4 linked regions of the Saccharomyces cerevisiae S288C genome follow. Changing the gene in region 3 together with the main gene of any one other region gives a genetic interaction. Each region holds a gene or a part of one and is shown on either strand. Other genes may lie near its edges.

Region 1 (10,307 bases), on a different chromosome or scaffold from region 3:
CATTCCACTTCAAAATATCTCGTAAACTTCTCTAATGCCACTTGGCACGCAGAAGACATTATAATGTTCGGCTTGGAAGCATCTTTACCAGCATTCTTCATTCTGTGTTCCCATCTTTTTTTCATGGCGAGTCCACCCAACATGATTGCCTCACTAGAACCTGTGGTGGCACAGCCTATTGGTTCTTCATCGGGATTAGCGTGCCATAATTGAGCTAGCATAGAAATACAACGCTGAGTTAGCTCAATTAATTGCGGATATTCATCATTGTCAGCAAGATTTTTGGTCAAATTTTCATCAATCAATTTCCTTGCCTGATCAGTGGTAAAAGTGTTCACGAAACTGGCAAGGTTCAAATGCGGATTACCATCAAGTGTTAATTCATTATGAATCAGTTGGTAAGACAAATCAGCAGGTAGTCCCTTTTTTGGAACTGAATACTTATTAGCCATGCCCTGAGACGAAGTATCTCTCATATTGTTCGATCCTTGATGACCACTTTGGACAGCGGATTTTTGAACGTCGTTAGAAAGCAATTGCAGACCTGCAAGGTCGTGGACAACTTTTCCAGCGATATTCTCGAAGTTCTTCTGCTTAGAACCGTGCCTGTGTAACATTATTCCTTGTTTTGTTCAGCCTGGATTGTTAAGAGCGACGTGTAATATCTTGAAACATTTTAGCATCGCCAAAAGGTGAGATTTCAGAGAGTGCGTTGCAGTTCAGTGGTCAATTATGCTCTCTTATATATGTATTTATGTTGCATCACTTTACTGATCCCCTTTTTCTGGTGTGCCGCACGATCTATCCCTTTTCCTTATAGAGTTCAACCTTGCTGTTAAGGGTGAAAAAAAAAAAATAGTAAAATAATGAATTTCTAATTCACTCTGATGAACTTAATAATCACAAGAATGCCTAAATTGACGTGTATTTATATGCTGCTCTTATGCAACTCTTGCTCTTAATTTGTCTAACTTGCCAGAAAGATTATTTATAAACGCAGTGAACAAGAATTTGAACAGCCCATATACTATGAACTTCTTTACTTTCACACGTTGTACATTTGCTATCGCAAATGAGATGATTTGATTATTTGAAAAATGTCAAGAACCAACTAGAATTTACCAGCATCAGCGCCTAGGAACCCGGGAAGGTACACTCTTCTAAACGAGACTGAGCATCACTGTTACTCGAGATACTTCCAAGAAAACAAAGTATAAACGGCAACCTGCGTGATAAAAACTATCTGAACACGTAGATGCGGCTACATATATAGAAAGTCAGCAGTTGATTCCGGAAGAATCCAGAGTACTATATGGTAGACTGGATTTATCTGTCCATATTTGCGGGCTTGATATTCGGATAGCATTGAGGCAGAGACAATATACAGTTTTTGGGTTAATTCTTGGCCTTGTGCTATAGCTAGCACGTCGTCGAATCCTAAGACCTTGTTTGAAAAGAATCGTCCAAAATGGGAGAACTGGCGCCAATGAATAAACCAGACGAAGGTATCACGAACATGTGCCAAAGCTTGTACCGGTACCAAATTATGCGAATGTCAGTCAGTAACAATGTCAGACCCTACTATCAACCCAGATGTAGCTCAAGTGGAACCTACTGTTCTCTCAAGCTTTTTAATAGAAACGCTCATAGAATATCATAGAGAGTTCAATAATAGCGGTATCATAGTTTATCTGATAACGTGCAAACTGTCCTGATCATGAAGCGGAGTTGAATGACAGGGTGATGGAATTGATGGCTAGTTGCTTTCGTATGCCTCGGTATAGGCATGCTAATGACACCCTAGGGTGGCTATTAGTATGTTGCAATGCCGAGAGGAGGTTGAATAACAATACCATTACATCAGCCGATAATATAGTGCATTGTATCAGCAAAATTAAGCAGTCAATTTATTTTTTTATCATTTAATGGCGATGGTTGGATAATTGTCTAAGAACAGTATTGAGTATTGCAATAAACCACTAAGGTTAGCCTCACGGCCAAACTATGTTGGTATCACTGTTACTAACAAGGTGGTTGTGTACGTGAAGGCAGATTGGCCTCAGAAGGCTCTTACCATTAAATAACAAGGCCATTATTCCACTCAATAGCTTGGCACTTGCACATTTGTGTGCCATTTACACTGAATGATTCATCTTTTTGATATCATGCAATATAATAATACAGGTGATAGAATGCGAAAAGCACGGGAAATAGGTGACTTTTGAGATAGTTGTTGAATACCATTTCCATAACAATACAATTTGGACAACATTATCTTATACCGAATATACCTTAAGTTTTACTCGAAAATATAGGAATCCATAAAAGGATCGATGATTCTTCATAATAATATTATGGTTTCTCGTTCCACTTTATATGTTGTCACTCATTATCCTATTGCATTATCAAGTCGTGCGTTCCACCCCCATTAAATTTGATGGCAGCTTTTAAATCTTTACCTTTATGCCATATTTCTACGTCGTATATGTAATAAGATGGATGCTAGACTATAGGGGGTAGGTGGTTCCTCTTCCGACATGTAGAGAATGTGGATTTTGATGTAATTGTTGGGATTCCATTGTGATTAAGGCTATAATATTAGGTATGTAGATATACTAGAAGTTCTCCTCGAGGATTTAGGAATCCATAAAAGGGAATCTGCAATTCTACACAATTCTATAAATATTATTATCATCGTTTTATATGTTAATATTCATTGATCCTATTACATTATCAATCCTTGCGTTTCAGCTTCCACTAATTTAGATGACTATTTCTCATCATTTGCGTCATCTTCTAACACCGTATATGATAATATACTAGTAACGTAAATACTAGTTAGTAGATGATAGTTGATTTTTATTCCAACACGACAATCATGAGTAATTACTTGATAGTGGATAGTAAGTTTTGATAGACACTTCCATTTTAAACTGATTTCACTTTTTACAGTGGCTAGAAATTACAATAAGAAATGGGCGTGTGGCGTAGTCGGTAGCGCGCTCCCTTAGCATGGGAGAGGTCTCCGGTTCGATTCCGGACTCGTCCAAATTTTTTGCTACTTTGCAATTAGTGTAACTTCATATTTAAAATTATAGTTAATCAAGAACAGAATATCGTCACAATGCTCTTTAAATGTTACGTACTTCTTACCTCCAGCTTGACTATATACTTGTCAATTCGAGTTAACCCAGATTATGCCCCAACATGGAAAACTGAAAAATATTGATGAAGCGAGGAAAAAAAACGTCATAGGAAAAATTCAAATGTTGCAACTTCAGATGGTTTTCTTCAATATATACAATACTGAAGAAGTCCTTCTTAATAGTTCAAATCTGCTAAGCCATCAAAAAAAGTTCAAGCAATAGTTGGTTCTTAATGTCGTTTGGTGGAATCAATACATTTCAACAGTATAACACAGATTTAGGGCTCGGCCATAATGGTGTTAGAATATCCTTAAACTACTTTGATGGTTTGCCGGATCCAAGTCTTTTAAACTCCTTGTACTCGAACGAGCTGAAACTCATTTTCAAATCTCTTCTGAAAAGAGATGAAACTACAAAAGAAAAAGCTTTAATGGATCTTTCCAATTTGATCAGCGACTTTAACCAGAATGAGTACTTTTTCAATGACATTTTTCTTCTTTGTTGGTCGCAGATATATGCTAAACTGATAATTAGTGATTACAAGGTCATCAGACTGCAATCACATCAAATTACTATAATGCTTGTCAAAAGCCTTCGGAAGAAAATATCGAAGTTTTTAAAGGATTTTATACCTTTGATACTTCTCGGTACATGCGAACTCGATTATAGTGTTTCCAAACCTTCTCTTAATGAATTAACAGAGTGTTTCAACAAAGACCCAGCAAAAATTAACGCCTTATGGGCTGTTTTTCAAGAACAACTATTGAATTTAGTAAAGGAGATTGTTGTAAACGAGAATGAAGATACCATTTCTGATGAACGTTACTCCAGTAAAGAAGAATCTGAGTTTAGATACCACAGAGTTATAGCAAGTGCCGTATTGCTGCTGATTAAGCTTTTTGTTCATAACAAAGACGTCTCAGAACGTAATTCTTCCAGTCTTAAGGTGATTCTTTCTGATGAGTCAATCTGGAAACTACTTAACTTAAAAAATGGGCAAAATACAAATGCCTACGAAACAGTTCTTCGATTGATTGATGTTCTTTATACAAGAGGTTACATGCCTTCCCACAAAAATATAATGAAGTTAGCGGTGAAAAAACTATTGAAATCGTTGACTCATATTACGTCAAAGAATATTCTAAAAGTATGCCCTGTTCTCCCATCAATACTGAACCTTTTAGCTACCTTGGATGACTATGAAGATGGGACAATATGGTCATACGATAAATCTTCTAAAGAAAAAGTACTCAAATTTTTATCGGTTTCCCGTACTTCACCATCGCCAGGATTTTTCAATGCTGTGTTTGCATTGTACAGCTCGACTAAAAGACACAGTTTTCTTGATTATTATCTTGAATGGCTTCCATTTTGGCAAAAATCGGTGCAAAGACTGAATGAAAAGGGCTTTTCTGCGAGAAACAGCGCTGAGGTTCTTAATGAGTTTTGGACAAATTTTTTGAAGTTCGCTGAGGATTCATCAGAAGAAAGAGTGAAAAAAATGGTGGAAAGTGAGATTTTTAACTCTCTGTCTTGCGGGAAATCTTTATCTGAGTACACAAAACTGAACCAGACTCTTAGTGGCGTCTTTCCACCCGATAAATGGGAGAGAGAGATTGAAGATTACTTCACTTCAGACGAAGACATAAGAAAAATAAAGGTGAGCTTTGAGAAGAATCTTTTTGCTTTATTGGTTACTTCTCCTAATAACGAATCCGCAATTAGTCGTTTATTCGATTTTTTTGTGCAATTAATCGAAACAGATCCCTCAAATGTTTTCAACAAATACGACGGTGTATATGATGCTCTCAATTACTTTTTAGATTCAGATATGATTTTCTTGAATGGGAAGATAGGGAAATTTATAAACGAAATTCCAACGTTGGTCCAAGAATCAACATATCAAAACTTTGCTGGTATCATGGCACAGTACTCAAACTCCAAATTTTTCAAAATGAATACTGACGCGATTACTTCGTTGGAAGACTTTTTTATCGTTGCGCTTTCTTTTAACTTACCAAAGACAATAATTTTAGCCACAATGAATGAGTTGGACAATGATATTTATCAACAATTAATGAAATCAGATTCCCTAGAATTAGAATTGTACATTGAAGACTTTATGAAAAATTATAAGTTTGACGACAGTGGGGAAATATTTAAAGGTAATAATAAATTTTTAAATCAAAGGACTATCACCACACTTTACCGAAGCGCAGTTGCCAATGGCCAAGTTGAACAATTTTGTGCTGTTTTGTCTAAATTAGATGAAACTTTTTTTTCAACGTTATTGCTGAATACCGATTTTCTTTCTTGTGCATTGTATGAAGTTTCAGAAGACACTAATGAGAAACTATTCAAGTTGTCATTACAGTTGGCTAAAGGGAATTCTGAAATCGCTAATAAGTTGGCCCAAGTGATTTTGCAACATGCTCAGGTTTATTTCAGCCCCGGGGCAAAAGAAAAATATGTCACACACGCCGTGGAGCTAATTAATGGCTGCAACGATACTTCTCAGATTTTTTTTCCCGCTAACGCAATCGAAGTTTTTGCCAGATATATGCCAGCAATTGATTATAGGTCATCCTTAGTGAGCAGCTTAAGTACTAACACGCATTTGCTCCTTACAGATGATAAGCCTATCAATTTAAAAAATATGCAAAAGCTCATCAGGTATGCTCTATTCTTAGATGCCCTACTTGATGCTCTTCCAGAGCGCGTTAATAACCATATTGTTGCATTTATAACTGTAGTTTCTGAGCTCGTCACTGATTATAATTGCCTTTCAGAGGAACCAAATGATCTTTACTATGATTTTGGGCATACCTTTTTCAAACATGGCAAAGTAAATTTGAACTTTTCTGATATTGTTGGAAACGTTATTCAGCCTGCTAATGGTGGTGATGCTATGCTTACTTTTGATATTGCTGAAAGTAATTCTGTCTACTTTTTTTATTATTCAAGAGTATTATATAAGGTTCTATTGAACAGCATTGATACTGTTTCATCCACCACATTAAATGGGCTATTAGCATCGGTTGAAAGTTTTGTCACGAAAACTGTGAGGGATCAAAAATCTACTGATAAAGATTATCTCCTATGTGCTATATTACTATTGATGTTTAACAGGTCCAACTCAAAAGATGAGATAACGAAATTAAGGACATTGCTGGCATCTCAATTGATTGGGATTAGAGAAGTAGAACTTGTCGATCAAGAATTCAAGTCGTTAGCTCTTTTAAATAATCTGCTGGATATCCCACAGGCAGATAAACAGTTTGTTCCTATAGCACCGCAGAGACTGAACATGATATTCCGTTCAATACTAAAATGGTTGGATAGTGATCTTGCCTACGAGCCTAGCTTTAGCACCGTTAGATTGTTACTACTAGATTTTTTCACCAAACTGATGAGGTTTGAAGGAGTCAGAGATATGGGCATAACAGCTTTTGAACTTTCGGAAAGGTTGCTGGCAGACTCTCTATCGATGTGTCAAATTGATGACACTTTATATTTGTTAGAACTTCGCTCTTCCTGTTTGAACTTATATGAAACATTGTCGCAAGGCGTTTCCAAAAATGGCGAGGAAATCTCAGAATATGGTGATGAAATTCAAGAAAATTTGATTGAACTGATGTTTCTCAACTTTAATCAAGAAAGAAATAACCAAGTATCCACACTCTTCTACCAGAAATTGTACAAGGTCATTTCCTCAATGGAACTCAAAAAGTTAGAATCTCAATACAAAAGAATATTCGAGGTTGTATTGAATGATAAGGATATCGGTAGTAATATTAATCAATCAAGATTATTAACTACTTTGTTGGGTTCTTTGGTGGTAAAAACACAGCAGGATATTATAATTGAGTATGAACTGAGGATTCAAAAACAAACTGGCTCAGACGTAGATGGTAGTGCATCTGATAATGATGTAAACTCAAAATTTAAACTACCTCAAAAATTATTACAAAAAGTTACTGATGAGGTGCCAAAAGAATACCTTGAATACGAGAATAAAAATTCATTTATTAAATATCTATGGTATTGGCACTTGATACTGATGTACTTCAAAGATACGTCTTATAATATGAGACAAATATTTATTGAACAATTAAAGGAAGCTGGTTTAATCAATAGAATGTTTGATTTCATAACAGATCAAATAGATTTAAGAGATACTGAGTTTTGGAAACAGGTCGACACCAAGGAAATTTCGGAATACAACATTGTCGGCAATAATTTCTCTCCTTATAAAGAAGACATATTTGAAGAATGTAAAAAACTTTTGGGCCATACACTTTATCAGTTGTTTAACAACGTCGGTTGTCTAACGAGTATTTGGTGGTTAAATATAAAAGATAGGACATTACAAAATGATATTGAAAAGTTTGTCTCAGAGTTCATCTCCCCAATTTTGATCAAAAATGAATTTGACGATATCAATTCTAAGATGGACCGCCTGACTTCTAATGATGATGCTTTGACTATTAAATTAAATAATATTACTAATGAAGTGAAGGCAAGCTATTTGATTGACGACCAAAAGTTGGAGATTTCCTTCAAACTACCAAAAAACTACCCTTTAACAAATATCCAAGTTAATGGCGTCTCTAGAGTTGGTATAAGTGAACAAAAATGGAAACAATGGATAATGTCTACACAACATGTAATTACAGGCATGAATGGATCCGTTTTGGATTCGTTGGAGTTGTTTACTAAAAATGTGCACTTACAATTTTCTGGTTTCGAGGAATGTGCCATATGTTACTCTATACTACATGCCGTGGATAGGAAACTACCTTCGAAGACATGTCCGACTTGTAAAAATAAGTTCCACGGAGCATGTCTTTACAAGTGGTTTCGATCATCGGGTAACAATACATGTCCATTATGCCGTAGTGAAATTCCATTTAGAAGGTAGACTATCGCATATAAATTTCATATAAATGTACTACATTTTTTAAACAAAGTTCCTTTTATTATTGTGCTCTCTTACAAATTATACAATCCAGCCCTATACCTTGCCAATCCAGCCCATCACCCGGATATTCTGGAAATTTTTTCTCTTCAGGATTTTTTCAGGATAAAAATCGAACTTGAAAGAAGAATGGTTTTTAGTTCAGGCCTTGTTTTCAGTTTTTAGCTACTAAAAGAGGGATAACCATTGATGAAATTCTATTGAATGTCCCCAATTTTCGGAAAAGGACTGCACCGAAATATTTCAATCAAAATCATTTATCGTTTTGTTTAGCTATTTTTTTCTCAAATTATCACTCTTTTCTTCCTTTTTCATTCTCTCAATTGTTCTTTTTATTTGAGGAAATTTGATTGTATTGCATATACAACTATGCGATGCACTTTGTTCATTTTAACTTTGGATATATGTGCCTTGCTATGAACGCGTTCATTTTTAAGTGACCGGACCCTAAAATATTCAGGTAGCATGACGGAAGCTATGAATTAATCCTGGTGGAGGGGTGTGTTCAGTTTGAGGGAGGATGATAAAATGGAACGGAGATTGCAAGGAGACGTAGAAAATAAAGTAGGAGCAAATGGATTTTCTGCTTGGCGGTATAGCACGTTTGAGTTTTTCAGTCGTGTCTATGTTCAGGTTTATGATATGCTGTGGTTGATTCTGTTGATTCACACGTTTCGCTTCCATATAGTGTGTTAACGGAAACTCCATGTTAAGGTTTATTATAAGAAAATTTTTTGAATTTGTTCTTTTTATATTGGTTTACTCTCCTCGTGATTTCTTTTCTTTTTTTATCGTCATCCTCTCTGAATGTATTTATTACGCATGGCTTTTATTCATTGCTTTCTAACTGTGATGGGAGTTTTTTTCTTGTTGCATAAATGAACGTGGGCGAGGTTTTTATTTTCAAACTTGGTGTACTATAGTGCAATGCGTTGTTAATTGTAATACGATGTTTCTTCGATAAAAGGAGCGGAGGGAGAAGGTGAAATTACGAAGGAAAGAAAGAGATGAGAAATCAAGAATGAAGCAAGACATTGATTGATATGGTTGTTTTCGGTGCATGTTTGATTACTAAAAGTTGGGGCATTCGATGGTTTACAGAAGTCATAAATTCAAATATCCCGTTTAATCGCTCATCTATTAAAATCAATAGTAGAATGTAGTTTCATACCCGGGAGAAATTCATAGTTTAGATCACGCTTAATAATGTCAATCTTGTCTTGCTGAAATGAAACTTAAACATGTTTATGTGTAATGTTATTTATTAATTATTAACTGTATCTGTAGGAGAAGAAACTATGTATTGTGCAAGTAGTTCAGGTGTTTGCAAATTGATGCTCTTAGAAAATGAAACGTAGTGTTTATGAAGGGCAGGGGGGAAAGTAAAAAACTATGTCTTCCTTTAAGTGTTTTCTTTATAAACTCTTTCCACATCTGGCTTGACAGCCGCTAGAATATCTCTTCTCTTTAATTTTTGGGCGGATGTAACAAGGCCATTTTCTGGAGTCCATTCTTCTTCAAAGAAAACAATGCCACATAATAATTCAATACCATTCAAGCCTTGAGATTTGGCAGTTGACAGCATATCTTTGCAAACGGCATCCTGTAGCTTCTTTTCATGGATATAGCTTTCGACATCTTCACCTGGTACCATTATACCTAATTCGATAGCCAGCTTAGACAAGTGTCCTAAGTTAGGGACCACAATACCGACAGGCTTAACTTTGTTTTCATCAGCGTAGACACAGATGTTTTGGACGTAAGGATTTGATCTGTAAATGGATTCTAATTTTTCCAATGCAATGTACTCACCATTTAAGGTCTTAACCAAATTTTTCTTTCTATCAATGATCTTAACTTGTCCCTTGGGGGTCCATTCAGCGATATCACCGGTACGGAACCAGCCATCATCGGTAAAGGCCGCAGCAGTTTCTTCAGGATTCTTATAGTATTCAGAACAGATGGGTGCACCCTTAAACAGCAATTCACCTTGATTATTCTTGGCAAAATAGCCCAAATCTTCGACATCCACCAATTTAGCTGTAATAGTTCCGACAAGGTCACCAGCAATACCGTAATCAAAATGTTCAGGCTCCAGGACACAGGCATTAGCCACACCCTCAGTTAGCCCATATCCAATGAGCATAGGACATAGAAGGTTGGAGAGGAATTTTTGGGCGTCT
Region 2 (9,369 bases), on a different chromosome or scaffold from region 3:
TCCCTTTTCCGTTGTTGAAACGGATCAAAGTTTGGAATAATAAGGATACAAAACGCCAAAAGAATGCGAACTTTCAAGCGTGGAAAAGTATCGAAAGACATTCATTCAAAAGATTCTAACGTGATTATCGTAAATAGCTGGAATTGTAGATATTTACAATGACATAGATCATTTTTCTTCGACGAAATTACGGCCTAATGTCGAGACAAGAATAATATGACGCTGATCTGTGTTTTGACAAGAATATGAATGATCTTAAGAAAAGGTTTCGCTGAATCAATTGGAAGACAGCGTCTTCAATTGTCCTACTAAATTCTTTACAGATGACATCTGGGTCTGGGGAGATCATGCAAAAAAATAAGACATCATTTATAACTTTCAACCTTCCGCTCACAGGACAAATTCTCGAAGACGCTACGGAAAGATGCTGAGCTTGATCATAATTCTTCAGGCTCCCAATTCAAGAATACAATTACTTAGCGTGGGTGCTTCTGCTCAGTCTTCGTTTCCTATCTCCACATACCAATCACTCGTTTGTTACTAATTCGAATAATTTACTGCTGTAAGGAGTCGTACCGCCAACTAAATCTGAATAACAATTTGGCTGCTAGAAGTTAAAAAGTAGGCGCTGCAATGATTATGTGGTATGATCAGATTGTGTCGCAACGCTCAGCGGGGTTTTGGCTCAATGGGACCGCTGCTAATAAAACGTTTAACTAGCGAATTTTGGAACACACCGGTTGACAAAAGTATAAGGAGTCTCTTTCCGTGAGTTCCCCTCTTCCTCTCACTGCACTTCAACTATGCCTTATAGCAACCAAGAAGCTAGAAAATGCCAACTATTAAAAAGATAACCTCTTTGGAAGCAAATAAAACGGAGATTATCTTGGGATCTATTTCACAAATTTACGGCTAATTGGAATGAACAGCGCCAAGTAGCACTGGTCAAACTGCAGAGAGTATTAGAACTTGCTTTATTCCGTATATCGTACTTTAGGTCGTCAGTTTTACCACTTCGGTACGCAAATGAAAATGAAAAGCTCATTCACAACTTAGACACAATTTCGCCGTTTACAAGTAGCTGAAAAGTCCATCTATCGAATTATGAATGATACTATTTTAAATATAGTCGTTGCTGCACTCGTTTTCCATGTTCTTTTTATCCACACATCCGATGTTTTACTTACAGTTGAGCATCTCAGGGCCAGCGACAAATATAAACATATTATACTCAAAATGAAGCTCGTTGAAAAGAGGATATTTCTTAACCTCTTTTACAGTGCTTTCAACACCTTTTCATCTGTGTGCCATGTCAGATTAAGGATGCTCAACTTTTCGAATTATTATTACAAATTTCAAAGAAATTACTAGTCCTTTTTGTCCCCTAATGTATCCCTCATTTCATACCGTCGTTTTGGGGTTCCAACTACGTATAGCTTTCAAGTGTGGTTTTACGGTAAGAACAACCCCCCATCGGTTAGTGCGGAATACTTTCCTATTCTCATCGAGAGCCGAGCCATACACCTAAGGTGGACAGAAAGCTAAAATTCCAAAACAGAAAAATCTAACATCTTTGCTCCCTTACAAGTAGGAACGCTAGCGTATCAACCCATCTCCAGATTTGCCCAGCATTTCTGTAGAACACCCAATGCGAATGAAGACTAATGAATATTGTAAAGACAAAAAATAGGAAAAGTTTAATTAGTGATGGTTCTCACCACCCCAAAACGGTCACTTGCATGCATTGAGGACATGCACCTGCAGTACTTGTTTTTCTCGAATGTTTTTTACCATCTCTTTTTTCCTTATCTGAGCTGCTGACGCAGACGGACATTGTTTCATATTTCGAAAGCTGTGCGGGAAAACGGACCCTAACACGAATGTGAATGCGCTAATCGGTATTTCCACCACATGAAACCTGCTACTTTTTCAGTCCTCTTCGTATGCATTTCCCAAAATTCATTCGTAGCCTTGTCAACTTAGACTCAGTTCCACGGCGTGCAGGACGGGGTATTATGAATAAAAGGATCCACGGGTGAGATTTGTTTTATGTTTTAGGTATGGAGTTTTGTACCACAAAACTTTAGGAATACCGGATTGTGTGCCTACGCCAGCCCCAGAGTATGTTCTCACAGCTGTAATTCCTAGTGATCTTTTCCTGACTCCAATAGGAACGCCGGTAGGCAAATTAAACTTTCGCGGCAGGAAAAAAAAGGCTTTTTCTTTTTTGCCTTTCAGTTTCTCGGAATGTGGCATTACATAAGCATAATCCTTTTTGGGTGTGCCTGGAAAGTTCAAATTAAGGTTTTTTTCTTCTGTTTTCTTAACAAGAAAATGTCGCCCAAAGAGTTTCGGCCGTTATTTTCCTATCGAGTGGGTCCTTTTTGTCTTTAGTCCTTCTCTGGGGCTAGCGATCACTGCAAAATTAGGCTTTACTGGTACGAGTTAACTTTTTTTCTTTTTTTTGTCATCCTTTTCTTTGGGGCTAAGAATGGACTTCCCTTTTCTTTTTCTTTGTTGCGACAGTGGCTTCAAAGAACTGCTGATTGCTCAAGGCAATCAGTCCGAGCGTTTAGAAGGTGATTGTAGGCAGAAATTAACTTTGCGGTAAAAGAATGACATTCTTTCTTAAAAGAAAAATTAGCTTTTTTTTGTCAGGCATTGCACAAACTTTTTTATTTCTGCCTATACTCTTAAACAGATCAGTCATTCATGTTGTCTTTTTAACGGTCGTACTGGGACATCGCATACCTTGGGATTCCGTAATTAGGTGCAACAATACGGGCACAACTCATTCTGCGGTATCTTCACGGACAGAACTTCTATTGCCTATCGGTGGTGTGATTAACAATTGGAAGCGCAGAGCTTGGAATGGATTTTCAATTCAATGGATTTGGAGGTATTCGTTTGTTTACTAATATTTACTTTGAGGACATTGCCCAACCCTAAAAGTGCCTGCTCAAGAATAGAATAACATTATGATACGTTTTCTTGACCGCTGAGCAATTTAAAGCAACTATTAGGGTACGATTGTTTCTAGAGAAATGTGGGTCATCTTTTTAGGTCCGTTCTCTTCTGATGAGGTAACCTTTACAAAAATGTCATAGAGTTACCAATTGGGATTCAAGGCATCATCGCAATATACTTCGTTCTTTTACGGAGAAATTAAGCTCTTTCTACTTTGAATTAACTGTTAGACTTGTCTTATCTGAGGAATGTCCGTGTTCGAATTAAATAAAAAATTAGGGCAGTTTTATTTACCTTAACAAATATGTTCAAGCATTTACGTTACTGCGCTCTCTTCTAGTTCAAGAACGGATAACTCATAGACTTACCAGTACAAATTGTTGAAGGGTTCCCAATTGATAAAAAGGATCTCTTGCTTCCTAAAATAAACGTATAAAAAGCACCCTATTCATCAGTTATTATCCCTCGTCATGTTGTGGTTCTAATTAAAATATACTTTTGTAGGCCTCAAAAATCCATATACGCACACTATGCAAAGACCATTTCTACTCGCTTATTTGGTCCTTTCGCTTCTATTTAACTCGGCTTTGGGTTTTCCAACTGCACTAGTTCCAAGAGGATCCTCCGAAGGAACTAGCTGTAATTCTATCGTTAATGGCTGTCCCAACTTAGACTTCAATTGGCACATGGACCAGCAAAATATCATGCAGTATACTTTGGATGTGACTTCCGTTTCTTGGGTTCAAGACAACACATACCAAATCACTATTCATGTCAAAGGTAAAGAAAATATTGACCTGAAGTATCTATGGTCTTTGAAAATCATTGGTGTCACTGGTCCAAAAGGTACCGTCCAACTATACGGTTACAACGAAAATACCTATTTGATTGACAACCCAACTGATTTCACAGCCACTTTTGAAGTTTATGCCACACAAGATGTCAACAGCTGTCAGGTGTGGATGCCTAACTTCCAAATTCAATTCGAGTATTTGCAAGGTAGTGCCGCTCAATATGCAAGCTCCTGGCAATGGGGAACTACATCTTTTGATTTGTCTACTGGTTGTAACAACTATGACAATCAAGGCCACTCTCAAACGGATTTCCCAGGCTTCTATTGGAACATAGATTGTGACAATAATTGTGGCGGTACGAAGTCATCTACCACTACATCTAGCACTTCCGAGTCATCTACCACTACATCTAGCACTTCCGAGTCATCTACCACTACATCTAGCACTTCCGAGTCATCTACCACTACATCTAGCACTTCCGAGTCATCTACATCATCATCAACCACCGCTCCTGCTACACCAACCACTACCTCATGCACTAAGGAAAAGCCTACACCCCCAACCACTACCTCATGCACAAAGGAAAAGCCTACACCTCCTCATCACGACACCACTCCATGTACAAAGAAGAAAACTACCACATCTAAGACATGCACTAAGAAGACTACTACTCCAGTACCAACCCCATCAAGCTCTACTACTGAAAGTTCTTCTGCTCCAGTACCAACTCCATCCAGCTCTACTACTGAAAGCTCTTCTGCTCCAGTAACCAGCTCTACCACTGAAAGCTCTTCTGCTCCAGTACCAACCCCATCAAGCTCTACTACTGAAAGCTCTTCTGCTCCAGTAACCAGCTCTACCACTGAAAGCTCTTCTGCTCCAGTAACCAGCTCTACCACTGAAAGCTCTTCTGCTCCAGTACCAACTCCATCCAGCTCTACTACTGAAAGCTCTTCTGCTCCAGTAACCAGCTCTACCACTGAAAGCTCTTCTGCTCCAGTAACCAGCTCTACCACTGAAAGCTCTTCTGCTCCAGTAACCAGCTCTACCACTGAAAGCTCTTCTGCTCCAGTAACCAGCTCTACCACTGAAAGCTCTTCTGCTCCAGTACCAACTCCATCCAGCTCTACTACTGAAAGCTCTTCTGCTCCAGTAACCAGCTCTACCACTGAAAGCTCTTCTGCTCCAGTACCAACTCCATCCAGCTCTACTACTGAAAGCTCTTCTGCTCCAGTAACCAGCTCTACCACTGAAAGCTCTTCTGCTCCAGTACCAACTCCATCCAGCTCTACTACTGAAAGCTCTTCTGCTCCAGCTCCAACCCCATCAAGCTCCACCACTGAAAGCTCTTCTGCTCCAGTAACCAGCTCTACCACTGAAAGCTCTTCTGCTCCAGTACCAACTCCATCCAGCTCTACTACTGAAAGCTCTTCTACTCCAGTAACCAGCTCCACCACTGAAAGCTCTTCTGCTCCAGTGCCAACTCCATCAAGCTCTACTACTGAAAGCTCTTCTGCTCCAGTACCAACTCCATCAAGCTCTACTACTGAAAGCTCTTCTGCTCCAGCTCCAACCCCATCAAGCTCTACTACTGAAAGCTCTTCTGCTCCAGTAACCAGCTCTACCACTGAAAGCTCTTCTGCTCCAGTACCAACTCCATCCAGCTCTACTACTGAAAGCTCTTCTGCTCCAGTACCAACCCCATCCAGCTCTACTACTGAAAGCTCTTCTGCTCCAGTACCAACTCCATCCAGCTCTACTACTGAAAGCTCTTCTGCTCCAGTAACCAGCTCTACCACTGAAAGCTCTTCTGCTCCAGTAACCAGCTCTACCACTGAAAGCTCTTCTGCTCCAGTACCAACTCCATCCAGCTCTACTACTGAAAGCTCTTCTGCTCCAGTACCAACTCCATCCAGCTCTACTACTGAAAGCTCTTCTGCTCCAGTACCAACTCCATCCAGCTCTACTACTGAAAGCTCTTCTGCTCCAGTAACCAGCTCTACCACTGAAAGCTCTTCTGCTCCAGTACCAACTCCATCCAGCTCTACTACTGAAAGCTCTTCTGCTCCAGTGCCAACTCCATCCAGCTCTACTACCGAAAGCTCTTCTGCTCCAGTACCAACCCCATCAAGCTCTACTACTGAAAGCTCTGTAGCACCAGTACCAACCCCATCTTCCTCTAGCAACATCACTTCCTCCGCTCCATCTTCAACCCCATTCAGCTCTAGCACTGAAAGCTCTTCTGTTCCAGTACCAACCCCATCAAGCTCTACTACTGAAAGCTCTTCTGCTCCAGTATCCAGCTCCACCACTGAAAGCTCTGTAGCACCAGTACCAACCCCATCTTCCTCTAGCAACATCACTTCCTCCGCTCCATCTTCAATTCCATTCAGCTCTACTACTGAAAGCTTTTCTACTGGCACTACTGTCACTCCATCATCATCCAAATACCCTGGCAGTCAAACAGAAACCTCTGTTTCTTCTACAACCGAAACTACCATTGTTCCAACTAAAACTACGACTTCTGTCACTACACCATCAACAACCACTATTACCACTACGGTTTGCTCTACAGGAACAAACTCTGCCGGTGAAACTACCTCTGGATGCTCTCCAAAGACCGTTACAACTACTGTTCCAACTACAACTACGACTTCTGTCACTACATCATCAACAACCACTATTACTACTACAGTTTGCTCTACAGGAACAAACTCTGCCGGTGAAACTACCTCTGGATGCTCTCCAAAGACCATTACAACTACTGTTCCATGTTCAACCAGTCCAAGCGAAACCGCCTCGGAATCAACAACCACTTCACCTACCACACCTGTAACTACAGTTGTCTCAACCACCGTCGTTACTACTGAGTATTCTACTAGTACAAAACCAGGTGGTGAAATTACAACTACATTTGTCACCAAAAACATTCCAACCACTTACCTAACCACAATTGCTCCAACTCCATCAGTCACTACGGTTACCAATTTCACCCCAACCACTATTACTACTACGGTTTGCTCTACAGGTACAAACTCTGCCGGTGAAACTACCTCTGGATGCTCTCCAAAGACTGTCACAACCACTGTTCCTTGTTCAACTGGTACTGGCGAATACACTACTGAAGCTACCACCCTTGTTACAACAGCTGTCACAACCACCGTTGTTACCACTGAATCCTCTACGGGTACTAACTCCGCTGGTAAGACGACAACTGGTTACACAACAAAGTCTGTACCAACCACCTATGTAACCACTTTGGCTCCAAGTGCACCAGTAACTCCTGCCACTAATGCCGTACCAACTACAATAACCACTACTGAATGTTCTGCTGCTACAAACGCTGCCGGTGAAACTACATCTGTATGCTCTGCTAAGACTATCGTAAGTTCTGCAAGCGCAGGCGAAAACACTGCACCTTCGGCTACCACCCCTGTCACGACGGCTATTCCAACCACAGTTATTACCACTGAGTCATCTGTTGGTACTAACTCCGCTGGCGAAACAACAACTGGTTACACAACCAAGTCCATCCCAACCACTTACATAACCACTTTGATTCCAGGTTCAAATGGTGCCAAGAATTACGAAACTGTGGCCACAGCAACCAACCCTATTTCAATCAAGACTACATCCCAACTAGCTACAACAGCTTCTGCTTCTAGCGTGGCTCCCGTTGTCACATCTCCATCTCTAACTGGTCCACTACAATCTGCTTCTGGTTCTGCAGTCGCTACATACTCTGTTCCTTCTATCTCGAGTACTTACCAAGGTGCTGCTAATATCAAGGTTCTTGGAAACTTTATGTGGTTGCTACTCGCTCTTCCAGTTGTATTCTAATGATACAATTCCAACATGTTCGTTTCTTCATTACGATGTTTTCATTCTTAAATTAAGATATTATTTCGATACCCTCTTTACTTTCTTCCACCATTCTGTTTTCGCTGCCATAATTTTGTAAGGCAGAAAACTACCCGTAGAATACATATTCATTTACATATTTTTTAGTTCTTCAAAAATTATCTTTTACCTTTTTTTACTTTATTTTACCATTTTTCTTCTAGCCCTATTTTGACCATCTGATAGCTTATTCAAGAACAAGTACCGGTAGTATTGGCACCGCGCCACTTTTCCCTCTCGCTTTTTTTTTTTTTCTTTTTGCCAAGCGCCTGCACGTTCTTTTGTCTGGAGTCTTGGAAAATGATAACCACCAAAAATCATCCCACGGACGGCTTGAGTAAAAATGTTTTTCCGCGAGACGGAAAGAGACGTAACAACCTTACATTTTTCCTAAAAGATTAATAAACCTGATATTGCCTTGGCACAACTAATAATCTTCGACCAGGCTTTGATGAATAAGAGGATCTTTACAGGCACCTTTGCTCTTTGAACAAAGAATATTTCCTTCTTTCTATGTGAGTTTACTGGAGTAATGCTTATATTATTCGCGTCCCCCCACGCTAACCTTAATGTGCCTAGATATCATGGGTTATTTAATGACAAGTCCGCTAGTGTCATCAACCCACTCTGTCTTTCATTTAAGATTCGCGAGATAGAACGACATCTTCAATTTAAACTTTTTAGGTGACGTTTCTCTTCTTTATTTCCTAAACAGAGCACCGAGACTTACGATTTTGGCGGGCCAACCTTAAAAAAAAGCTAAAAAAGTTAAATTTTGACATGAAGTCTCGTTAGAAATTCTTGAGGACGATGTAGATTTCCACGATTGATCCTCTCTTCAGGGCCGATTGTCTTCGCTCAGAAAATTCCGGAGTAGAAAAAACAACGTTGCCTGTTCTGATTGACCAAGGCTTCTGTACGAAAAGGGGTCTTCCTTTTTCGTACAGAAGATATTACTAATTTCGGTCCGAAATTCTAGTGCTCTTCGGACTGTATTCACGAAAAAAAGCCTCTTTTTTCTGAGAATGAACAGAAAAAAGGATGCGGCAAGATCCGGTAAGAAAGAGGTAGTTCCCCGCGTGCACTAACTACCCCGGTATATTTTGCTTATGTAAGCATATTTAGATAATAAATAGATATAGAAGAAAAAAGGGGCCCGCCTTTTTATCTTAGAAGATCACAGAGTTCTTAGCAGTTGATTTTCACAGTATGGGGTCAAATTTCACATCAAAAATACCTTAAAGGGGAAATAATTCGAAACATCTTTCCTTCCTTTGTAATGCAGATGACATGAAGTAATCGGAAGAAACTTTAATTGTCATGCCACTCTCTCACTGTCCTTCTAACGCTACAGTAGCGTTGATCTCTATGTTACAGGCTCTAATTAATTTTTTATTAATGTTTTATTTTTATTGTTGCGATGGCAATGAGTACACGTCCTAATAAGAAATAAGGTTAGAGCCTGAAATTCGTAAGGACATTAGAAAAAAAAAATAATAAAGGAAAAAAAAGAAATGTCCCCGATGTCCGAAATGGATCGTTATGCCGTATTACCGGTCCAGATTTACCTACTTCCCCTAAACGTATTACAATAAGTGCCGGGTCCTTCTTACTAGAGGTTAAAGAGGGTATCGCTGTCGGCGATTGATGGTACATATCTCTTATAACAGAATGGTTTGAAAAATCCGAAGGATGAAAATAACATACC
Region 3 (6,678 bases):
TTCCCCTATTATGCTACACTTCCCTTGGTAGATGTGTTTCACCTCATTGGTATCAATTACCTCCTCTACTTAATATCCCAATTTCAACATGGTGTTTTCAAGCGATGAGGTGGAAAAAATTTCAAATAATATGTTTGGGTGTGCCCATTATTGCGGTTTACAATAGTTGCTAAAGAGCTATTTATTAGGAATTTTTAAACTTTAGAGATTGCTTAAAGCGACTTTAAAGCGTTTCTTTGGAAAGATAGGAGAGCGGATGCTATCTCAAGAGCATCTCTTCAATGATTTAAGCAGTGACAGTGTAAAACAATTACGGACCAACGAAAATGGTCAAATCAAAACTAATTACAATAAATAAGTTCTATCATAATACAAGGGAATTCTGTGCGATATAACCACATTGATTGAAGGTAGAATATACAAGCCAACGTGAGACCAATCAAATTTCGTTAAGTGCGCCTATACAAAAAGAAATCTTTTATGTAGATATGACAGTAAGAAAAGTATATATGTGAGCTAGCAGGGTATTGAAAGCGATCACAAGAAGGCAAAACGAAATAGATTGTTAGAAGATGAGTGAACAGAAGGGACATAAAGAAAAGATTTCCTTTACAATCTAGTAAATCTTCTTCTTTTCATCAACGGATAATTCACCAGCGCCAGTATTAGTAACTAATAGAAGCCCACCAATGATGCTTAAGTTCTGGTAAAACTCATACTTCAAGAAATCTCTCTTAGTATTGTTATAAAACCAGTAGTTGTTTAGCGTGATATTGTAAAAAGTTAGTATCAAACCCAACATAATGGATGCGAATTTTGTCTTGTAACCAATGGCGAAACATATTGTGCCGATAATGGTCAAAACAACAGTAAACCATGATTTACTGAAAGTGAAAGCGATAAACATTAAAACAATTAAAATTCTACCAGCAAACAACAGGTAACCCTTCGCTTTGTCGTTTTTGCTGTTTAATTCAGGAAGCATACCGAATGTTGTCTTGTTTTGAACAATTGAATCGCTGAATGCAATTAACAACCCACCAATAACACTAAAGTTTCTTAGGACAAATGATGAACCCGTAAACAACCCATAAACTAATGCTTGAGAAATAACGCAAGCACATAACACACCGGTGGCATAATTGGTTTGCTTTCTTAAAACTAACAAACTGGCGCCAATCAACATGGAAACGGTAACAACCACTAGAAACACAACGACAAAGAAGTATGGGTAATGCTTCCACTTATTCAGATAAAAAATTTGATCTGACCATTGTGATAAGATCCTAAACGAATCTTCATAAAAGGTGGCCACAATGAAAAATCTTGACAAACTTGGAATGTAAGGCTTCAATTTATAAACAACTGCATTGTCAGTGAGCCCCTCAATTCTGGAGGCAAACTTTTCAAAAGAATGCTTCCATTGCTTTAAGATGCCAGAAGTGGATTGGTTCTGGTTTGATCTGAATTGTGCACCGCCAGAGTATGGTCCTTGCGATGATGACATTGGCATACCGCCAAAATTTCCAATAGGTCCTCTGTAAGACATTGATCTATCCTTTCAGTTTTGTTTTCACTTTTTTTGAGTCGTACTAATTGCAGCTATTGTAAGTAAATAAGGACACCTTTGATCTTTCGTTAAAGGTGTCCTTTATTTTTCGCCTTTCTCATTATTCCCTCTTCTCTCATCTTCTAGAAATACCTAAAAAGGGAACCGTTACCCGAACCTATTCATTATAGAAATAAAAGAGAACGTTCTCTATAATATTCGTATACATTCGTATATATTCTATTCCATTTCTTACGGTATTCACACGAAGTAGGACAACAAGCTGGATGGTAGTTTGCCAGAATCGACAATAGTCTTTGCAGATTCCTTCAAAACTTCCTTGGCACCAGCAGCATTGGCCTTGATCTTATCGGCGGTGGACACTAACTCTTCGTCATTCAAACTGTCAACGATCAAACCAACTTGTTCGTCAATCGTGGTGGCCTTGTCAGCATCACCAAAGTAGTCAGCTTCCTTAGCAGAGTTACGGATGGCTCTCTTGTTCTTTTTCTTGGCGGCCTTAGCAGCTTCCTTAGCCTTCTTTTTGTCAGCTTTTGCGGAGGCGTTAGCCTTGGCTTCAGATTCAGCTTTAGCCTTCGCTTCAGCTTCGGCCTTGGCCTTAGCTTCAGCTTCAGCTCTGGCACCGGCTTCTCTTTCCCATTTTCTTCTTTCCTTTTCCTTCTTCTCTTCTTCTTTGAACATTTTGATACGGGGATCTTCACTGACAGCTCTTTCAACAAGTTTGACCAATCTAGCGTTATCAGCAGTCTTCTTCTTGTCTCTTGCGGCCTTGTTCTTTCTTTCAATGTAACGCTTGTGGTCTCTGTTAGAAGAGTCATCTGGGACATCTTCGTCCAAGAACTCAAAGGTTCTCCAGGAGTCAAATCTGTGCCAGAAAGCATAGAATTGTTCAACTTCCTTCTTGGAAGAATCTTTGTTACCTAGAGAAGGAATAGGAGTCTTCTTAGAAAAACGAGCTTCAGCTTCGAAAACGGGGCCCCAAGCTTCATAAAAGTCATAATCGGTACCCTTCTTTGGAGGAGGAACATCGGCAACAAAATCACATGAGTCGTACTGAGCTCTCTTGTTGGAATCAGTCAAAGTTTCAAAGGCCTTTTGAATAATCTTGAAAAAGCCATCTTGGTCCAAACTACCACCAGCAGCAGATTGCTTGTCTGGATGGTACTTGACAACTTGTTTTCTGTGAGCCTTGATGATTTGACTTTCAGTAGCTCTGAAACGCAACTTAGACAAACCCATAGCAGCATACAAATCGGCAGTTTTCCAGTCTCTAGCATCATGAGTCAGTAAATCTTCATCGGCCAATTCAGTGTCGAATAACAACTCATCTGGGTCGACATTGGATTCATCAACGGTTTTGACGTTCTTTTCAGCTTCAATTCTTTCAAATTCAGACCAGGTGTGGTTTCTCAAAGTTCTTTGAGCATGTTGCAAAAAGAACTTACCAACCGGTTCGACCGGACGACGGACGAATGGGGTTTTGGTAGCGGAACTGTTGACTTCAACAGTGATGTCTGAGGTTAGGGTAGGTAAAGAAAACATCGTTACTCTTGTTGGTATATGTGAGACAAAACGAAGATTTTATAAAAGCATCGGTAGGAAAACCTTATGAAATTTTCTCTACCAGCTCTTGAAATAAAAATTTCGAACTCTTTGCAAAATTTCATCGAGAAAAAAAAAAGATTCGTATTTGCGGGTAATATTTTTTGGACATTTGTATTAGGAGCGTTATGTTCATTAATGTCATCCAAAAGATAGTTATAAATCTATGATTGTATGGTTTCTTTGACATATTTATAGTTAATATATATATATATATGTGTTTAATTTTATAAAAATTCCATCGTTTATATTCGATTATTTTTATATGTCAACCTTTTTTTTAAGAAATGTTCATATTTAGTCAAGTTCTTAATGAAATGAACGGTTGAAAGTACAAGGCAACTATCATTTCAAGATATAAAAAAATTGCCCAAAAAAAAAAGGCCATTTGATGAAATGTCTCATCGCGCTACGATTTCTGCTGTAATCAGAACTAAATGCGTGATCGGAAGTAATATTAGATATTGGATGCATAAAAGATAAAACGCCAGCTAACGATGGCAGAATAAATAGGTAAATATATATATATATAGGTTTTCTTAATAAATAAGGGAGAAATGTACAGTTAGAATCGTAGAATTATCCACATATCCCTATCTTCAAGATCTGTCGTACTTAAATGCCTCCATAGGTTGCAATCCCCATTTAGCCAACATTGCCTTGTCTTCGTCCCAACCGTTACACATTGTCGTCAGCATTTTCTTACCGGTGAAGATACTGTTACAACCTGCCATGAAACAGACAAATTGCTCTGTTTCTTTCATTGTATAACGACCAGCGGCAAGTCTTATAATGGCCTTTGGCATAACTATTCTCGCTGTGGCAATGGTTCTCAAAATTTCGTCGAATTGCAACTTTTTACTCTTTGGATCGGCAAGTTCCTCAGCCATTGGAGTCCCTTTGATAGCAACTAGTCTATTAATTGGTAGGGACTCAGGATGAGGAGACATATTGGATAATGTGTAGATGAATCCTATATGGTCGTCTTCGCTTTCACCGAGACCCAAAATACCACCGGTACAGGCTTTTATTCCAGATTCTTGGACATTCTTGATGGTCTGTAACCTGTCGTCGTAGGTTCTCGTGGTGATGACCTTACTATAGTGTTCTCTGGAAGTGTCGATGTTATGGTTGTATGCAGTCAAACCTGCATCTTTCAATTGCTTTGCTTGATCTTGATCAACCATACCTAAAGTAACACACGTTTCTAGCCCCATATCATTCACTTTGGTCACCATTTCCTGAATTCTTTTCATGGCTGATTTACGACCTTTCATGTCTCTCCATGCAGCACCTAGGCAGAATCTAGTAGATCCGTTTCTTTTGGCCTCTTCTGCCTCTTTAATCACTTCATCCACTTTAACCATTTTCTCAGCCTTTAGACCGGTATCGTTTCTCGAAGACTGCGCACAATACTTACAGTCCTCAGAACAACCACCAGATTTGATGTTCATCAATGTGCACAATTGCACTTTGGTTGGATCGTGCCACTTTCTGTGCTGCAATTGTGCTGCATGAGTAAGTTCGAGCAGTGGGGTATGATAAATTTCTTTTAATTGCGATTTTGTCCACGAATGACTTGGTTCATCTAAAGACAATGCATATTGTAGAGCACCCAGAGTACTAGCTTCTGAGGATGCAGTTGTCGATTTAACTGCGGCATTGGTTGCGTATTTAGTTAAAGCCGGTCTAGCGGTAGATAAATGACGGTAGATAGTAGACATCATACTGCACTAAATTGAAAATAATCGGCTAAGTTAGCTCTTCTGAGGACACCACTACCAGAAGAGTAAGATCTGAAAAATTTTCAGCAAGTATGGGAGCAAAAAAAGCTTTGCCCTTTTATATAAGATCTGCCTAAGAGAAGAAATAAAAGATACCAAGAGAATCTAGCAGAGTGGCAAACGAACTACATAGCCTGTAAATACAGATTAGGCAGCAGCGTAGCGGATTTTCCTCAGGCATCGTCTCTCACGTGAAATCTGTGGGGGCACCAGCGTGACAGGGACGGTTCTAATGCTTTGCACTTTTCAACAACTTTTTTCCATAACCAAATGCCGGCAAAATGGCTTCGAAGAAGACGCGAGACTTCATCCGCGAGTCATCTCGACATGACTATCTTTTGCTAGCCAACACGCCCCTCCGCAACTTCCCACGATAAAATTGTAAAGAACAGTACTGATGGACAGAGATTTGCGCAGTGGCATTTTTTGAAAATAAAATGAAAAATTATATATATATATTCCATACATAGTATATAATATGAACTCGTTTGACTTGGAAAATTTTAGATGCAACAGGCAATATCGTTGGGCTTTTTTATTTGATCATTAGCTTATTTGAATATGAAGGTAATGACCAAGGGCTACTAATGTCTTTCTATTAAGCCGTTTTACAATTGTATATTTTGTAATTTGCATCGCAGTCATAACTTCTTGCAAGAAATAGTAGTTTCACACAATGAGGTAGTTTCGTTGGAGATGCAGTAATAATGCAGAATACGGATCTCACGGACCCCAAGAGAAAGCTACGCAATCTTACGGCTTGTAGGTTCTCAGTTCCCAATCGATGCAAAATGGGTAAGTATTTTCAAGACTGAAATAAGGTCGCTTAGAAACGGTTATCCATTTACTATTATCTGGAAGCTGCTTTCCACAGCTACCTACTTTGGAGTAATGGTTTCCGGGAAGACTTCATCCTAGAGCCTCTTGCTGTTGTTATTCGAAGTTCAGATTCGTAAATGGTAGTACGTTCTGCTTTCGCAATGAATAACTAGGTCACATAAGCCCTAAATGCGTCAGTAGAAGATCAGATGCATTGACCACATCATATCCTTCTAAAGTAATTAATTGAGATTTAATATTTTTCGTACTGATGAGAAAGCTAAACTAGTGCAACTATTATAGTCACATTTGTACGGAAAAGGCAGAAGCAAGAACAATGACTTGAAAGAGCGTATAGCTATTTAACCATTTCCATTTGTATGCTATAATTCAAGTATTTCCACACTCTTAACTAAAACGAATCAGAAGAGTAGGCTACTAAGAAAGATGGCTATCCTTAATAAGTACTATCCGACGTTGAATTGAAGATTAAACTGAGCCACACATTCCCATCTTCTGCACACTTAGTTCCTTATTTAGAGACTTTTATGATAAAAATTTCTTCCGTTCACTGTTAAACAACCTTGGGAACAATGCTGACTGTGCAGGAAAATGACCTATGTTTGAAGGATGTTGCCACATAATTGAGGCATGTTAGCAGAGCATTCCCTACCACTGGAAGGAGTGATGGTTGATGTATTTTCCATTGAGACTGTGACATTGTGATACGATACCTAATCAACGACCCTATATAACTCATTAAAAATGGCTTTCTAGAAGCTACATCTATTTGATTAAATTGGTTCCCATTTTCACAAATATTTTGCCACCTCTCCTTCTCGCCAAGGATTTGTACAAAATTAACAGACCTTTTAGAATAAATATTAAATTTAGGTCAGCAGA
Region 4 (2,757 bases), on a different chromosome or scaffold from region 3:
TCATTTAATTTAGTAAAATTATTCTCTCTATATGCAGAATTAAAATTCTCTAACAGCTCATTTTCCATCATTTCAGAGTACTTTTCAATAACCAGCTTTGTGTTTATTGTTTTTGGTATTGAACTTGTCTCTAGTTTGGATGATAATATCAATAGATTCTTCATTAATTTCACGGACTTTAAGTTTAATTTCCAGTTTTTAGACAGCCTTAATTGTTCAACAATATCTGATTTTCCCATGGAATAAAAGTCATTGTACCTGCGAATCAATTCCACACTTTGAATATAGTTTTGCTTTTTCTTGATTGCGGTTTCTAATTTATCTCCCAATGGCGAAACAACTTGAGTAACATTTGTCAAGCGATCATCTAGCTTGTCGAATGTAAGTAAAGTAGTATGCAAATCCTTGGATAATTTTATCACATTCTCCGAATGAATAACTTCCTGAGTAGCCACTTGCTCGGAAAAATACTGTCTTTTATTTAGTGTTTCCTCATTTAAGTTTTTTAGTTCCTTTAAGGTAGATTCAAAAGTTCTAATGTAAGGTTTTGGATCTAATTGTTTCCAAATAGCCTCTCTGATTGCATCCTGATCCTTTTCATTGGTTGGAAGATTTTTCGTGTTTGCATCAATCAACACGTCATTACGATGGTCTTTGCTCAATTCCTGAACGAATTCATTGACTGTTAATCCGCCCAGGAAATTGTCCGTTTTCAATAGTTTCTTCCATTTCGGATCGAGTTCATATAATGAGTTCATGTTGTAACACCACTTGATGACAAAGCAAATTTGCTCAATTTTCTATATCCCTTTAATGCATGAACGGTTCTTTATTTTGTTTTCTGTCGACATTCTAGTTTTTCGGAATCTCAAAATAATTAATTACATATACGTACATAAGTAGCCCAGATAAACAAAAATACCTTAAAAAAGAGTTACTAGCCGTATATGGATGTTTGAAGATACATGGAAACCGTCTCTGGTGTCGTGTATATAAGAAACTTCTAGTTTTATTCAGACGCACTCATTATCTTTGCTACATAACATTTCTCTCTGATTTGACTGCGCATCTTACCCCTCCCCCATGCATGTGGAGTCATAGGAGTAATTTTAAAGGTAGAATTTCATATTAAATATCGCTGCTTGATTATTTTGTAGCAAATCAAAAGAGTGTTTCAAGTAAGTAAAAACATTTGAGCCTCCCCATTTGTTGAAAGGAGAGAAATTAAACTTGGTTGGGGTTAATTATTTGATGGGTATATTAATTTGCAACCGCAAGGTATCGATAATAAATATTCTACAAAACCTTTATCAATAGTGGTGAAGTCTTTAGTGCGATCTACCTGGGGTTAATGAACGAGAAGTTCTTGAGATATCTTTCCTGTTTACCTCCGTGCATCCTGTAAGGAATTGGGTTTATCATTTATCATTTATTTTAGTACAAACTTTTTTTTTTGGCCCGGGCGCACTTTTTCAAGCGGTGGGAACTCATCAAAATGAAAAACTAGATACTTTTAGACTTATTAAATGGTTTAAATATTTTGAGATGTTCGTTATATCAGAAACTTCCTTACTTCTATCTTTTATTCCAATACAAAGAAGTCACAAGATTACTTGGTAAGAAAGAAGCAGTTAATTTTTAATTTTGCCGACAAGCCAAGATGCAAATTTTCGTCAAGACTTTAACCGGTAAGACTATTACCCTGGAAGTTGAATCTTCTGACACTATTGACAATGTCAAGTCCAAGATCCAAGACAAGGAAGGTATTCCACCTGACCAACAAAGATTGATCTTTGCTGGTAAGCAATTGGAAGATGGTAGAACTTTGTCCGACTACAACATCCAAAAGGAATCTACTCTACACTTGGTCTTGAGATTGAGAGGTGGTGGTAAGAAGAGAAAGAAGAAGGTCTACACCACCCCAAAGAAGATCAAGCACAAGCACAAGAAGGTCAAGTTGGCTGTCTTGTCCTACTACAAGGTCGATGCTGAAGGTAAGGTTACCAAATTGAGAAGAGAATGTAGCAACCCAACTTGTGGTGCTGGTGTTTTCTTGGCTAACCACAAGGACAGATTGTACTGTGGTAAGTGTCATTCCGTCTACAAGGTTAACGCTTAAGTAAAGTATTTTTAAAACTTATATATTTTAATTGATCGTTAAATTTTGAAAAAGGCTTTTAATATTGTCATTATTTACTTTTCTATTTACAACAAAAGAACAAATGAATAGATAGACAGTAGAGGAATATAAGTAGTATGCAGTGCCATGCGGGATCAAGGAATTTGTATCTCTAATTTTCGTGGTTGTATGCGTCTCTAAACAAGTCAATATTTTGCTGTAAGATGGTTCTGCCGCTCCTTTCAGTTCCTTTAAGAAGCGTACCTGCAGATATTTTAACATCCTCCATGGTTTCATTGACTTTACTGACAAGTTGATTGCTCAAGTCATCAACATGTTTTTCCCAATTTTCACTAAATACTTGCAAAACAGCATCGAATCCCATTTTACCCTTTTTAGCGTTCTCGCAAAACCTTTGAACTGACCAATCTTCCATCTTATTACACAGCTTTCTAATGGATCCATATGCTGTAATTTGGGCTTCCTGCTGGAAAAGTGTTTTATTAGCCGAGTCATCGGGATGCGGGCTATATGTTACAGTTTCGTAGACTTTTAATAGATTGCACATCGTTAAATTACAGCTTCTCATGGTCAAGCTCTTTTTATTTAAGTCTACCACAGAAACTTCTCTGACATGA

The links.
Region 1: of ZUO1 (region 3) and RKR1, changing one enhances a phenotype caused by changing the other (phenotypic enhancement), as found in Saccharomyces cerevisiae (2 studies listed by BioGRID).
Region 2: of ZUO1 (region 3) and FLO11, changing one suppresses a phenotype caused by changing the other (phenotypic suppression), as found in Saccharomyces cerevisiae (one study listed by BioGRID).
Region 4: of ZUO1 (region 3) and RPS31, changing one suppresses a phenotype caused by changing the other (phenotypic suppression), as found in Saccharomyces cerevisiae (one study listed by BioGRID).

What each region holds. Positions count from the first base shown.
Region 1 is NC_001145.3:761,111-771,417, reverse strand, and holds RKR1 (ubiquitin-protein ligase RKR1), read left to right. Parts: upstream 1-3,378; coding exon 3,379-8,067; downstream 8,068-10,307. Other genes in the region: glutamate decarboxylase GAD1, read right to left, coding at 1-617; YMR247W-A (uncharacterized protein), read right to left, coding at 1,992-2,135; long-chain fatty acid-CoA ligase FAA4, read right to left, coding at 9,527-10,307. UniProt on the Saccharomyces cerevisiae protein: E3 ubiquitin-protein ligase component of the ribosome quality control complex (RQC), a ribosome-associated complex that mediates ubiquitination and extraction of incompletely synthesized nascent chains for proteasomal degradation.
Region 2 is NC_001141.2:387,804-397,172, reverse strand, and holds FLO11 (Flo11p), read left to right. Parts: upstream 1-3,497; coding exon 3,498-7,601; downstream 7,602-9,369. Other genes in the region: YIR020C (uncharacterized protein), read left to right, coding at 2,616-2,918. UniProt on the Saccharomyces cerevisiae protein: Homophilic binding protein that enables kin discrimination in heterogeneous yeast populations by mediating homotypic cell-cell interactions during flocculation, a reversible and asexual process in which cells adhere to form aggregates (flocs).
Region 3 is NC_001139.9:1,060,042-1,066,719, forward strand, and holds ZUO1 (zuotin), read right to left. Parts: upstream 3,113-6,678; coding exon 1,811-3,112; downstream 1-1,810. Other genes in the region: protein ERV29, read right to left, coding at 617-1,549; BIO2 (biotin synthase), read right to left, coding at 3,772-4,899. UniProt on the Saccharomyces cerevisiae protein: Component of the ribosome-associated complex (RAC), a heterodimeric chaperone complex involved in regulation of accurate translation termination and in folding or maintaining nascent polypeptides in a folding-competent state.
Region 4 is NC_001144.5:497,287-500,043, forward strand, and holds RPS31 (ubiquitin-40S ribosomal protein eS31 RPS31 fusion protein), read left to right. Parts: upstream 1-1,660; coding exon 1,661-2,119; downstream 2,120-2,757. Other genes in the region: exocyst subunit SEC10, read right to left, coding at 1-758; UPS2 (Ups2p), read right to left, coding at 2,292-2,757.